Linked DNA regions of Sus scrofa. The protein of the gene in region 1 interacts with the protein of each later gene in a pairwise test. Links are inferred from orthologs where the notes say so. Each region holds a gene or a part of one and is shown on either strand. Other genes may lie near its edges.

The links.
Region 2: the proteins of WDYHV1 (region 1) and PNMA1 interact in binary tests that used the Homo sapiens proteins (3 or more experiments, as listed by UniProt). The two-hybrid records come from large-scale screens. The link is inferred for Sus scrofa from reciprocal best matches to the Homo sapiens genes NTAQ1 and PNMA1.

The regions. Positions count from the first base shown.
Region 1 is NC_010446.5:15,980,532-15,986,208, reverse strand, and holds the end of WDYHV1 (protein N-terminal glutamine amidohydrolase), read left to right. Parts: intron 1-162; coding exon 163-311; intron 312-957; coding exon 958-1,082; intron 1,083-4,812; coding exon 4,813-4,922; 3' UTR 4,923-5,505; downstream 5,506-5,677. UniProt on the Homo sapiens protein: Mediates the side-chain deamidation of N-terminal glutamine residues to glutamate, an important step in N-end rule pathway of protein degradation.
Region 2 is NC_010449.5:97,048,326-97,054,502, reverse strand, and holds PNMA1 (paraneoplastic antigen Ma1), read left to right. Parts: upstream 1-2,645; 5' UTR 2,646-3,485; coding exon 3,486-4,547; 3' UTR 4,548-5,353; downstream 5,354-6,177.

The DNA.
Region 1 (5,677 bases):
CTTTTGGCCTGTTTTCAGGGTTTTGTGTTTGCTTTATTTGCTGTTATAAGGAGGGCTGTATTTGTCTTGTCCATTTTTGATGATATGTATGCAGTACTGGTATACCCTTGGAATACACGATCGTAGGGTAATCTGGTTAATTTCAGCAACTTTTACTTCTAGGATTACCATGTTGTCTTGCTTCATGTGTCGAGTGGAGGACAGAGCTTCATTTATGACCTTGACACTGTCCTGCCATTTCCCTGCCCCTTTGATACGTATGTGGAAGATGCCTTTAAGTCTGATGAGGACATTCATCCGCAGTTTAGAAGGTGAGGAGATTCAAGGTGGATTTATCAACTTTCTGCAATCGGACCTTGATAATAATTAATATTCAGTTGTTTTGTTTGTGTGTTTGTTTTTGCATTGGTTTTATAAACATCAGTTGTCTGGGCTTCACCATTTAGTCGAGGTTTGAGAATGATGTGCTATATAGAAGATTCAAAATGTTTTAAAGTTTTAAATGTTGTCCGTTGTGTAAAAGGTTGGCAGTCTTTTAAAAATTTGTGTGATGAGATCCAAAACATTTTTCTGAAAGTTGTTGTGGGGCTCTCTGTCCTTTTCTTATTTTTGGGGGGAGTGTGGTGGGATGGTGTGGGGTGGGTGAGTAGGATGCCTTATGATGCCACCGTGGAGAGCGCTGTGATGGCAGTCTCTGAAAACTACCCTTTGCCCCTGATACACAGTTGGGAAAGTAAAGGCAGCTAGATATATTTCCATGCCTTTGAAGTTTGGGTTTTCAGCTGATCATTTCTCACGCTGTCTTTAACCGGTATTAAAGCAGCATGTGTATGTTTTTGTATCACAGAGTGTATAAAAAGGCCTGCGTGGTTTTGTTCATGTCATAGAACACGGTCTATGTAAGAGCTGAGTTAGGATTTCAGCTGTGATATAAAATGAATGTTGGTTTGTGTGTAGGAAATTCCGAGTGATCCGTGCAGATTCGTATTTGAAGAACTTTGCTTCTGACCGATCTCACATGAAGGATTCCAGCGGGAACTGGAGAGAACCTCCTCCGTCCTATCCCTGCATCGAGACTGGAGGTGAGCCACGGCCGCCCCCAGGGGGTTCCCGTCACTGTGCAGATGAGCGCGTTCCCTTAACCAGGGTCAGGAAGCACATTGTTCTTTGGGTAAGACCTCTGGAGAGCTAAGGAGGCAAGAGGGAGTGTCGTTCTGTGTATTCATCGGATTTAGGAATCGAGGCACGGAGAGCAGGACTGGAGGGCACCAGAACTCATGGGAGAGGAACGGTGTTAGGGCCCAAACCCTGGCACCATTGCTGGGACATTGGGCTTCGGAAGGTCTGCGTGTTCGAGTCATTTAACAGCGGGACTACAAGCATCTTGCCACGGGAGGGTTTCATGTTATGGGGAGGAAATCCCAGCGCGTCTTTGGAATGTGTGAAATGTCATTTCACTGGCTCTGTAATAAAAGCTGCCTAAGAAGGAGGTGAGAGCTAGCAGGTTTTATCGTCCCACTCATCTCATTTATGTGCTTTTAGGCATCAGTCCAAATAGTAATTCTTCCAGATTTAAGCGGATAAAGGGTTCTTCACCTCTTTCTGTTGCTTGGCACTCACCTGAAGCTGGAAACATTATTTATGATGGGAAGTAATTGGTAGCGTTGCCTTTAATTGGTGAAATCATCCTCTCACATGGATGAGGCTGTGTGAGTCAAACTGTTCTGTAAGCTGTACAGGATGCCGGAAAAATAGGACAGTGGTGTTCGGAATTCAGCAGTGAAGAGAGTAAAAAAAATATTTGGCATGTTTGAGGGGAGTGAAGACTGAAAGAGGATTCAAACTCTGATTTTTGAGGCTCTCTGTGAAAAGCTCTCATAATTTTAAAAATTTATATTGGAATTGATTTTGCCTCACCAACCGGGTTCCCAACCTCAGGGTTAGAATTGGGACAGCTGAGGTCAGGAAGGGGCCTCAGGGATCTTGCCTTCAGTCTCACTCACCAGGCTGACAGGGCCTGTGGCAGCTCTAAGGCAGAGTTTGGTGCGTAGTAGGCCTTCAGGAAACAACACCTTCTCAGCCCCTGTCCTCTGTGAGTCATTTCTTTGGGTTTGATGGCTACTACCCAGTAGGTGCTGTTTTGGGAGAGGCTTCGGTGCCAGCCCCTTTGCATCTTATTTTGGTTTAATCTTCACCACAAGAGGCAGGCTTTGTTTTCCACACTTGCCTGCCATACAGACTGGCGCACAGGCAGGTCAAGCCTGCTTCCCCAGCTGGAAGGCCTCCAAGTCCGGTAGCACCTTGTGATCGGGTGTCAGTTGCCCCCACCCTCGTGTAGCTAGCTCATCAGAGGCCTCCTGAACTTGAGATTGGAGCTCAAAGGAATCTGCTCCAAAGTGTGGGGTAAACACACTGGTTTCTCATGTCGTAATTTACTGTGTGTTCTCTTGTATGGGACATGCATTACTGCAAGCCCTGTCTTTATCAAAGCAGTATATTTGAAATTAGGTTAAGGGGGAATTACTTTCAGCTAGTTAGGGTTTTATTTAAGAAAAAACGGTTAGGAAAGAAAAAATGGTTCAAGAAAACATCACACTTCACCTCAAATATGTTGTTTAGATAGTGTGTCATTTTCCTCTTAGGTCAGTGATGTTCTGTTCATCTTTTTCAGACTTTTTCTGTATGTGCTTCATTTTCAGTAATTATTTTGCTTGTAAATTCATTGATCTTAAATCCTTTTGCGGTGCATTTTTTTTTTTCCATTTTACGTGTTTGTTTTTTCATTTCTAGATGCTCCATTTGGGGCTGATTTACTCTCTCCCCTTTTGGTCTTTGTCGTGCTCATGTTTAACTACTCTTTTGAGTAAATGGAGCCTATTTATAATCGCTGGTCCTTGTCTGCTGATTTCTCTCCTGGTTTTGAGTTGTATTTTCCTGTTTTCTTTGTATGACTCCTAATATTTGGTTGGCTGCTGGATTTTGTGCATTTCACATTGTCAGCTCCTAGATCTTGGGTTACTTTAAGAAACAGTCTTGGATTTGGTTCTGGCCCCACTTAAATTTCTGAGGGTCAGGCGGGTCCTTTCAAGGCTGGCTTGTAGGCCGTTTCCTGCGGGTTCGAGGTGGCCTTTGGCTGCTGCTGATTTAGCTTCCCCACTCTCGAGTGACCTTTCTGTGGATTCTCCCAAATGCCTGAGGGCTGGAGGGGTGTTGTTAGACTGCTTTCTGCTGCTTCTTTCCTGGACTTGTGAGATCAGTCCTTAGCCAAAGACTTGGGGGTAAAGGGCTGAGGCGCCTCTGCAGGTCTCCAGACAGCTCTCTGTGTAGTTCCCGCCTCTCTCACACTGTCCCCAGATCTAGCTGCCCTGGCCCCCTCAACTTAATTTTTTTGTTTTTTTTGGTTGCATGTGCAAGTTCCTGAGCCAGGGATCAAACCTGTGTTACAGTGGCCACCCAAGCCACAGCAGTGACAATGCCGGATCCTTAACCTGCTGAGCCACCAGGGAACTCCAGGATTTATTTTATTTTTCATTTTTTGCTTTTTTAGAGCTGTACCTGTGGCATATGGAGGTTCCCAGGCTAGGGATCAAATTGGAGCTGTCGCTGCCGGCCTATGCCACAGCCACAGCAGCATGGGATCCAAGCTGTATCTGCGACCTACACCACAGCTCATGGCAACACCGGATCCATAACCCATTGAGCAAGGCCATGGATCGAACCCGAACCTCATGGTTCATAGTTGGATTCGTTTTCACTGCGCCAGGACGGGAACTCCCTTTAGAGTCTTTTTGATATGTAGAGATTCGTAGTCCAACTCTTTTTTTTTTTTTTTTTTGGTAATTTATATGTTGGAGAAACTGAGTCTGGGAGAAAATGGTGTGGGTTTTGGTGATTGTATCTCTTTTGTGTTCTCTGAATTCCTATAAATTGGCAGTTGCCTCCAGTAAACTGGCAGTTTGCTTATTTTTACAGGTTTTCATTTAATTTTTTATTTTTGAATAACTTTATTTTTAGCCTACTAGAGAATTGGTTAAAAAATAAAACACTGCAGTTTTTCTATACCTTTTGGTCAGATCCCAGGGGAATCTGAGAAAACCATAGTGTAATTATCTAAACCAAAAAAATAATACAGTTGATACAAAAATATTGCCACAGTGCTCTTAACTTACAGACCTTATATAAGTTTTGTAATTTTTCCCACTAATTTCTTTTTTTTTGGTTTAGAATCTAACCCAGAATATTACATTTATTTGTCATCTCTCCTCACTCTCCTTCAATCTGTGACACTTTTTGTTTTTTCTTTGATAACTTTTATACTTTCAAAGGGTACTGGTCAGTGATTTTTTTTTTTTTTTTGGTCTTTTTAAGGCCATACCCACAACATATGGAAGTTCACAGGCCAGGGGTCGAATTGGAGCCGTAGCTGCCAGCCTACACCATAGCCATAGCCACAGCCAGATCTGAGCCACATCTGCGACCTGCATCGCAGCTTGCTGCCACCCCAGATCCTTAACCCACTGAGCAAAGTCAGGGATCACACCCACATCTTCATGGATACTAGTCGGGTTCTTAACCCACTGAGCCACAACAGGAACTCCAGTGACTTTGTATAGTGCGCCTCAGTTTGGGTCTTTGTGATACTTTGTCATGGTGAGATTGAGGTTATGCATTTGAGACAAGAAACCGCAGAAGTGATATTGACCCCTTGTGAAACGTGAATAATTTTCCCTACTTTTGGTCTCCTGGGTTGTTTTATTGCTGTTAAACCAAAATTGTGTTTTCAGTGGACATTTTGTTCATGTATTCTTTTAGATTCCAAAATGAACCTGAATGATTTTATCAGTATGGATCCTGAGGTGGGATGGGGAGCCGTCTACTCCCTGTCTGAATTTGTACATCGGTTTGGCAGTCAGAACTACTAAACTTGACCTGTGGATGTAGTCCTGTGGAGAAATGCTAGGACCCGAACAGATCCACCCCTTCATCTGGGACAGCGAACATTATGGTACATTTGGTTTGGAATTATGTTTTCCGTTTTATTTCAGTTGAGTTGAAACATAAGTGAACAAAGTAATAAATAGAACCAATTTTTTTTTTGATATGTCAGGTTGAAACTTGATGTAGTGTGTATTTGCTCAGTTATTCCTACAGCTCAGTTGTTAAAACATGTGAAGACTTAAGCCAATAATTGTTTTTGTTATGATAGATGTGTGGATTTCATGTCTGTTTTGGATGTTTCATTTCTCTCCAGCTACACTGTAAGCTCCTTGAGGGCAGGGCTGTGGCCCATTTCTCTGTGAATCTCTAATGCCCATAACGTGTGCCATAAAATGTTTGCTAGTGATTGTGCTCCTGCTTGAAGAGGGCTGACATAGTGAGCTGAATCAGCAATAAGTATTAGTGTTTTGGACCATTATGTTCTTAAAAAAGATTGCAGCCCTCTCAGGCTTAAGTGTTATTTGGCCTCTTTATATACGTTTTTAAATAAAACTGACTTAAAATTAATTTTGTTTTGAAGATTTTGTGTCCCTCTTGATGTTCTGGGATCCTCAAGAATGTCTTATTTGTAGATGGGACCCTTTGCTTTAAAATACATTGATCCATTTTTCTTCTTGAAGATGTCTTAGAAATTTGGCTTTCATCATTTAATTCCAAATAAAATAATGCCTAACGTTCA
Region 2 (6,177 bases), on another chromosome or scaffold:
GTTGGAAGGTGTCACAAAGCCACACAGACTAGGAGGATCAAGGGAGAGCAAAGGCAGTTCTTGTTGCTACCTCTTCAGCAGACTGTCAAGTTGCCTGAGGGGACTGGCTGGAAGCCAGAATTCTGGTTTTGTTTCTGGCTTGAAGAAGCCATATTTGGCATCTCGCCACTGAAGTGAAGGGGCTGGAGGTTTCTGGAGGCCCCTTCACTTGCCAGTCCTACAGGAAGACTGAGTTACTTTCCTGGTCTCGTTATTCTCCTTTAGCTGCGTAAAAGCAGTTCTGGGTGCATGCAAGTATATGACAGGTTAGGAAGGAGCCAAGAAATATTCATTCTGATCCGCCAATGAGATAGCCTAAAGGCATCAATGTTGGTAGCTGGGAGTGGGGAGGGAGTTTTGTTTCTAAACTATGCACTGTCAGGTCTTTTTTCGCATTCACTTATGTATTCATATGGTTATACAGCAGGAGCCCCGGTACTGGAGTAACAAAATTCTTTCCCTTCCCCAGTTCCTGATGGCTACCTAGGGACCTCCAGCTTCCCATTAGTTTCTTCCTTAGGCTTCTATAAACTCAGTGGCCCAAGATTGCAAAAATCTGACATACTTTGCAAAAATAAGAGGGTAGCAAATTTAGGCTCTCTTCTAAATCACTTGTGTAATATGAGTGCCTTTGCAGCTTCTCCCCAAAGTGCTACTTACGTTTCCCAAGGTTTTTTCTATTTGAATTATGTTTCGTTTCAGGCCTCTTTTTTGGACATGTGGCAACAGAAACCTCCTTTGTCTAGAGTGATTCTCCTCTTCTAAGCCCAGAGAGACCAGACCAGGTGAATGTAGGTGGAAAAGATCAAGATGGTACCTCTCTGTATTAACCCCGACTGACACCATGTTTTGAAAGGGTTTACGATCCAGGATGGATTCATATTTAGAATGTAATGCGAAAGGTAAACTGTTTAGAGGGCAGATGCAATTGTGGCAAGTGACCTGCCAATAAAGTAGGTGCAGCCATAGAAGCTGGCATAGGCTTACCCTTTATGGTGCTTTCTCCCTGTGAACATATCAGGCTCGTGTTGTTTTTTTCTTTTTTCTTTTCTGTTCAGAGCTGTTTGCTTTAAGAAGTTAAGTGAAAACACCTTCAGCTTTATAATGTCCTCTGTACACCACCTTACATACCCATCTCGCAGCCTCCAGCTACACTCAGCTAAGGGCATGAGATTAACCTAGTGCCTGTGTTCTAGACCATTTCTGAGGTCTCTTAGCCACCCAAGGAGACAGGGCTTCGACACTGTCCTCCATGCCTTCAGCAACCCCTGTCACAGCTAAGGTACACACCTATCCCTTTGGCTACTCCACTTCCACCCCTGGCACAGAGGTCGTGTGCTGCTTATGTCTAAAGGGATCCCCTATATTTAACTGCCTCAATGACCTAACCTCTTTCTTCTCATGTGCCAGATGTTAAGATGAAGGAGGAATACAACACATACACAAGCCTCAGCTGTTTAAATATGTTTTTACCGGGGCTCAGTTTTCTCAGATGGTATTTATTACCAGTGGCAAGCCTAACTCCTTAGGTTTACAGGAAGTATGCATATTTTTATAAAACAATTGTATGTCCTCCCCATATTTTGCTGTATTAATATTTGCCTCTAACTAACAATTTGCAGCTGTTTCACCTTTTCCTCATTTGTCTCTTAGTCAAAGGCCTTGTTGGAGGGGACAGAGCACAGGAACAGCCTTGATAGTCTGTAATTATTGTACAAATATTTTAATAGCATATAAATAAGTATATTCCTTTTATTTTGAAAAAATCAGACACTGCCTTTTGTGTGTTTGCTGCCTGTGGCACCCTTTTTTAAAAGACTGTTACATATTAAAATAGTGTACATATATATAAATATTACCTCTTTTGCTGTACAGTTGTGATAGACCAGACGGAAGATTTTATTTTTTGTGTGCTTTTTATAAAAAAAAAAATTAACACACTAAAGAAAATCTTGCTGATGTGATTGTAATGTACCTATGTAACTTATTTACTTTTGAATGTTCTTCTGTATCTTTAAACCTTTTATTAAATAAGGTTTTAAAAATTCAGAGTTGATTTCTGTGTCCTTTGGGGGAAAGATTTATTATCTCACCATCTGGGATTGTAAGTGTGCCTTGGTTTGCTTCCAAAGGATACTTGACATTTTTGAACCATAAGGCCTGTTTTATCCATGATGCCAGGGCAGGGGAAATAACACATTAGTGTTTGCCGGGTTACTATTCATAGAGATCTAGATCTTTTTACAACATTTTAGACAAGAAGAAGTCTCAACTCACTGGGATAAAATTTAGAGGGTGCAGAGTGCAGTCAGGTGGTACAGGGTATTATACAGCATTGCCTCTGAACGAGCGACGCGAGTAGACAAGTCTTTCTTGACGGCCGGATATCATCTTAAATCCACTCCAGAATTATATTATCTTTTAAACACAGTGCTTTGTTAAGAAAAAAAAAAATCTGGAAAATGCGAAAAAGGAAATGCGCGGTAAAGGAAATTAACGCCCGCGGCCCCGAGCTGCCACCATGGCAACCATTCGCCCCTGCAGGCCGCTAGAGCTCCGGCGTCTCGCGTCGGTGGTTGCCGTGGCTACGGTCGCGCGGGCAGGGCCGCGGGGGGCGGGGCGAGGCGGGTCGAAGGCCGGCCCCGCCCTCCACTGCGGCAGTAAAGGCTAGGCTGGCTGCGGGTGGGACCGAGGTACAACTGTGCAGCTCCAGCCCACCTCGGCCCGCGGTCGCCTGCGTGCGGGGCTGCCGCGGCCTGCCTGCGACTGCGCCTGCGCCTCCTCTAGCCTGGCTTCCGCGTCTTTCCTGCGCCTCTGCTGCCTGTGTTCTTGGTCCTTGGCGTCCTCGCCGCCCAGAGGGATACGTTTGCCCACGAAGAAGCTCTCTCGGGTTGGCCTCGCTGCCGCCGCTGTCTTTCCCTTAGGACAGTCTTTCCCTCCGGGGGCGGTACTAGTTCTTGTCTGCGGAGAAGCGGCTCCTAGCTCGTCTGAGGCGTGCTCCGCTCTGGCAACGAAAGCTTGCACCCTCTGGGAGCAGCAGCGAGTGCCTGGCGCCCAGGCTGCGAAGAGGCGGCCACGTCCCGCGATCAAGCCCTGCGGCTCCTGCTTTCGCCGCCCGCCTTTTTTCCTCGCCTCTGCGCTCCGACGCGACACCTTCCTGTAAGTGGAGGACCCGGCCTGCGGATCCCGACCGGAGACACAAGATGGCGATGGCCATGTGACTGAGCATCCCCGAGGCTTCGTTCCGAGAACGCGGAGGCCTGGCTTTGAGGGGCAGCGAAAAGAGGAGAGCAGGACACTGGTGTCGTTTGTTAAACGTGATTGACTCCCTCGGGCATATGGGGGGAGGTGGCGGTGGGAGCGTCTGCTATTGTCTTCAGTTTTAGAGCACAGGGAGCCACAGTCTAATTGTATTTGTAGAATTGGGGCCCTTGATAGTTGGGAAAATGGCGATGACACTGCTGGAAGATTGGTGTAGGGGGATGGATGTGAACTCCCAGAGAGCCCTTCTGGTCTGGGGGATCCCTGTGAACTGTGATGAGACCGAAATCGAAGAGACCTTTCAAGCTGCGATGCCCCAGGTGCCCTATCGAGTGCTTGGGAGAATGTTCTGGAGGGAAGAGAATGCCAAAGCAGCCTTGTTAGAGCTCACTGGTGCTGTCGATTATGCTGCGATCCCCAGGGAGATGCCAGGTAAAGGAGGGGTCTGGAAAGTAGTCTTTAAGCCCCCCACTTCCGATGCTGAATTTTTAGAAAGGTTGCACCTCTTCCTAGCAAGAGAGGGGTGGACCGTGCAAGATGTTGCCCGTGTCCTTGGGTTTCAGAACCCCACTCCGGCCCCAGGCCCCGAAATGCCGGCAGAGATGCTAAACTATATTTTGGATAATGTTATTCAGCCTCTGGTTGAGTCCATATGGTACAAGAAGCTGACGTTGTTCTCGGGAAGGGACATTCCGGGGCCAGGGGAGGAGGCATTTGATCCCTGGCTGGAGCACACTAATGAGGTCATAGAGGAGTGGCAGGTGCCTGATGTAGAAAAGAGGCGGCGGTTGATGGAGAGCCTTAGAGGCCCTGCCGCTGATGTCATCCGCATCCTCAAGACCAACAACCCTGCGATTACCACCGCTGAATGCCTGAAGGCGCTGGAGCAGGTGTTTGGGAGCGTCGAGAGCTCTAGGGATGCGCAGGTGAGATTTCTGAACACATACCAGAACCCGGGAGAAAAATTATCTGCTTATGTGATTCGTCTGGAGCCTCTGCTGCAGAAGGTGGTTGAGAAGGGGGCCATAGATAAAGATAACGTGAACCAGGCCCGCCTGGAGCAGGTCATTGCCGGGGCCAATCACAGCGGAGCCATCCGAAGGCAGTTGTGGCTGACCGGGGCTGCTGAAGGGCCGGCCCCCAACCTCTTCCAGTTGCTGGTGCAGATCCGCGAGGAGGAGGCCAAGGAAGAGGAGGAGGAGGCTGAGGCCGCCCTCCTGCAGTTAGGCCTGGAGGGGCACTTCTGAGTCCCAGGAAAGGGGGCGTTAGTTCAGACCTAGATCACGGCTGCTTTCATTGTCTCTGTGATGTCTTACAGGTGTGTCTCCTGCTAGTAAAGACTAAGCGGTGTTTTTTGTTTTTGGGCGGGAGTCCGGCCTGGGTATTCATGTGTCATTAGCACAATCGTGCAGGGGAGCACCAGATCTGCTGCAGCGCTCGTGGGTCATGCTAGCTACAATGCCAGGGAAAGGCTTGGACGTGAGTCCTCATTGCAAGCTATCATCATGGCACCATCATCGGTTGTGAAAAATGTGGTCTCGTGACTCTTCCCATCAAGGTAATTAAATATGAAATTGCATGTTCAGATGTATAATGAGTGCAGGGCCTGGATACCAAAAGAACTGTTCAGTAAAAAATGTCAACTGTTTACTCTTAACTGTGGTGAATAGTTTTTGTGTCTACCGTAAATTGTTCCTGGTTTATATTAATGGAAAGAAATGTGAATAAGGTATTATTCAGCTTTACAGTGCAGATTTCTTACTGTACATCTTTAAAGATCTAGATCAGTTTAATTGAAAAGTGTTCTGAGACTACAAAATGGGGTGTTAGAACGATACTGCGCTTACAGGGCTGTGTAAATCAAGTTTTCACTGTGTAAGATGCAGATATAAAATGCATGGGGAGGTTAATAGGAACCAGTTACAGCATCTATTCCCCCATTTCAAATCTTTGTCATTGAAGAGTAGTTTACCATGTTCATGCTGATTCTAAATGTTTTAAATTCGAAGTTATCAAATACATGTATATTAATAAAAATATTTTTTAAATTCTCTTATTTTTCTGCAACATATAAAAATTTTCAGTGTAATTAAGCTCTGTATCTTCATTTTTTCAGGAAGATTTCCCCCATCACTAAAAAAATCCCCCAAACCTTAATTATTTTACTTTAAGCTTTATATCATACTAAGTTTAAATTGCAGTACTTTTTAATATATTCAATTTCTGCATATTTTCTACAAATGTTAGAAGGCAAAATAGTGAATATTAACTTATTATAAAATGTTATAACATCCTGAAATAGGGTTCAGGAAGTTATCTAGCAATGCTTTTTCCTCCCCTTTCAAATTCTTTTTCAGCTAAAAATGTTTCACAGGAATAATAACTCATTATATCTGCATAAAATTGTTTCAGTTTTTCAGCAGCCATTTTATATCAAGAGTTTAAAAAGGGACATATGGCTCAATAGCATGTTTATTTGGTTGTAAAGAGATTCAGTGACTGAAGATGTTCATCTTTTGAAATTCTAGTAAATCCAGAAGTGATTAAATGAACATAAGTGTTCAGTGGGGGTTTTCCCCTAGTGACAAGGCTTTAAATTTATAGTCAGCCTTTGCAACAATCGTAAAGTAAAACATTTATTTATACAGGCTAATATTGGTATATGTGCCAAGAGATTTTTCTTGCACACGTGTGTGTCCTCACTTCCCATATCTGTACCTCCCTTTCTCCTCTCAACACACGCATCTCTACAGCTTTGACCTGCACAACAGATAATGCAGATCTTCGCATATCCTCGCCACTCCCCCCCTTCCCCCCTCATTTCCACAGGAATGGCTCTGGGTACACTTTCCTCTCCTCTCACAGTCTTACCTTCAC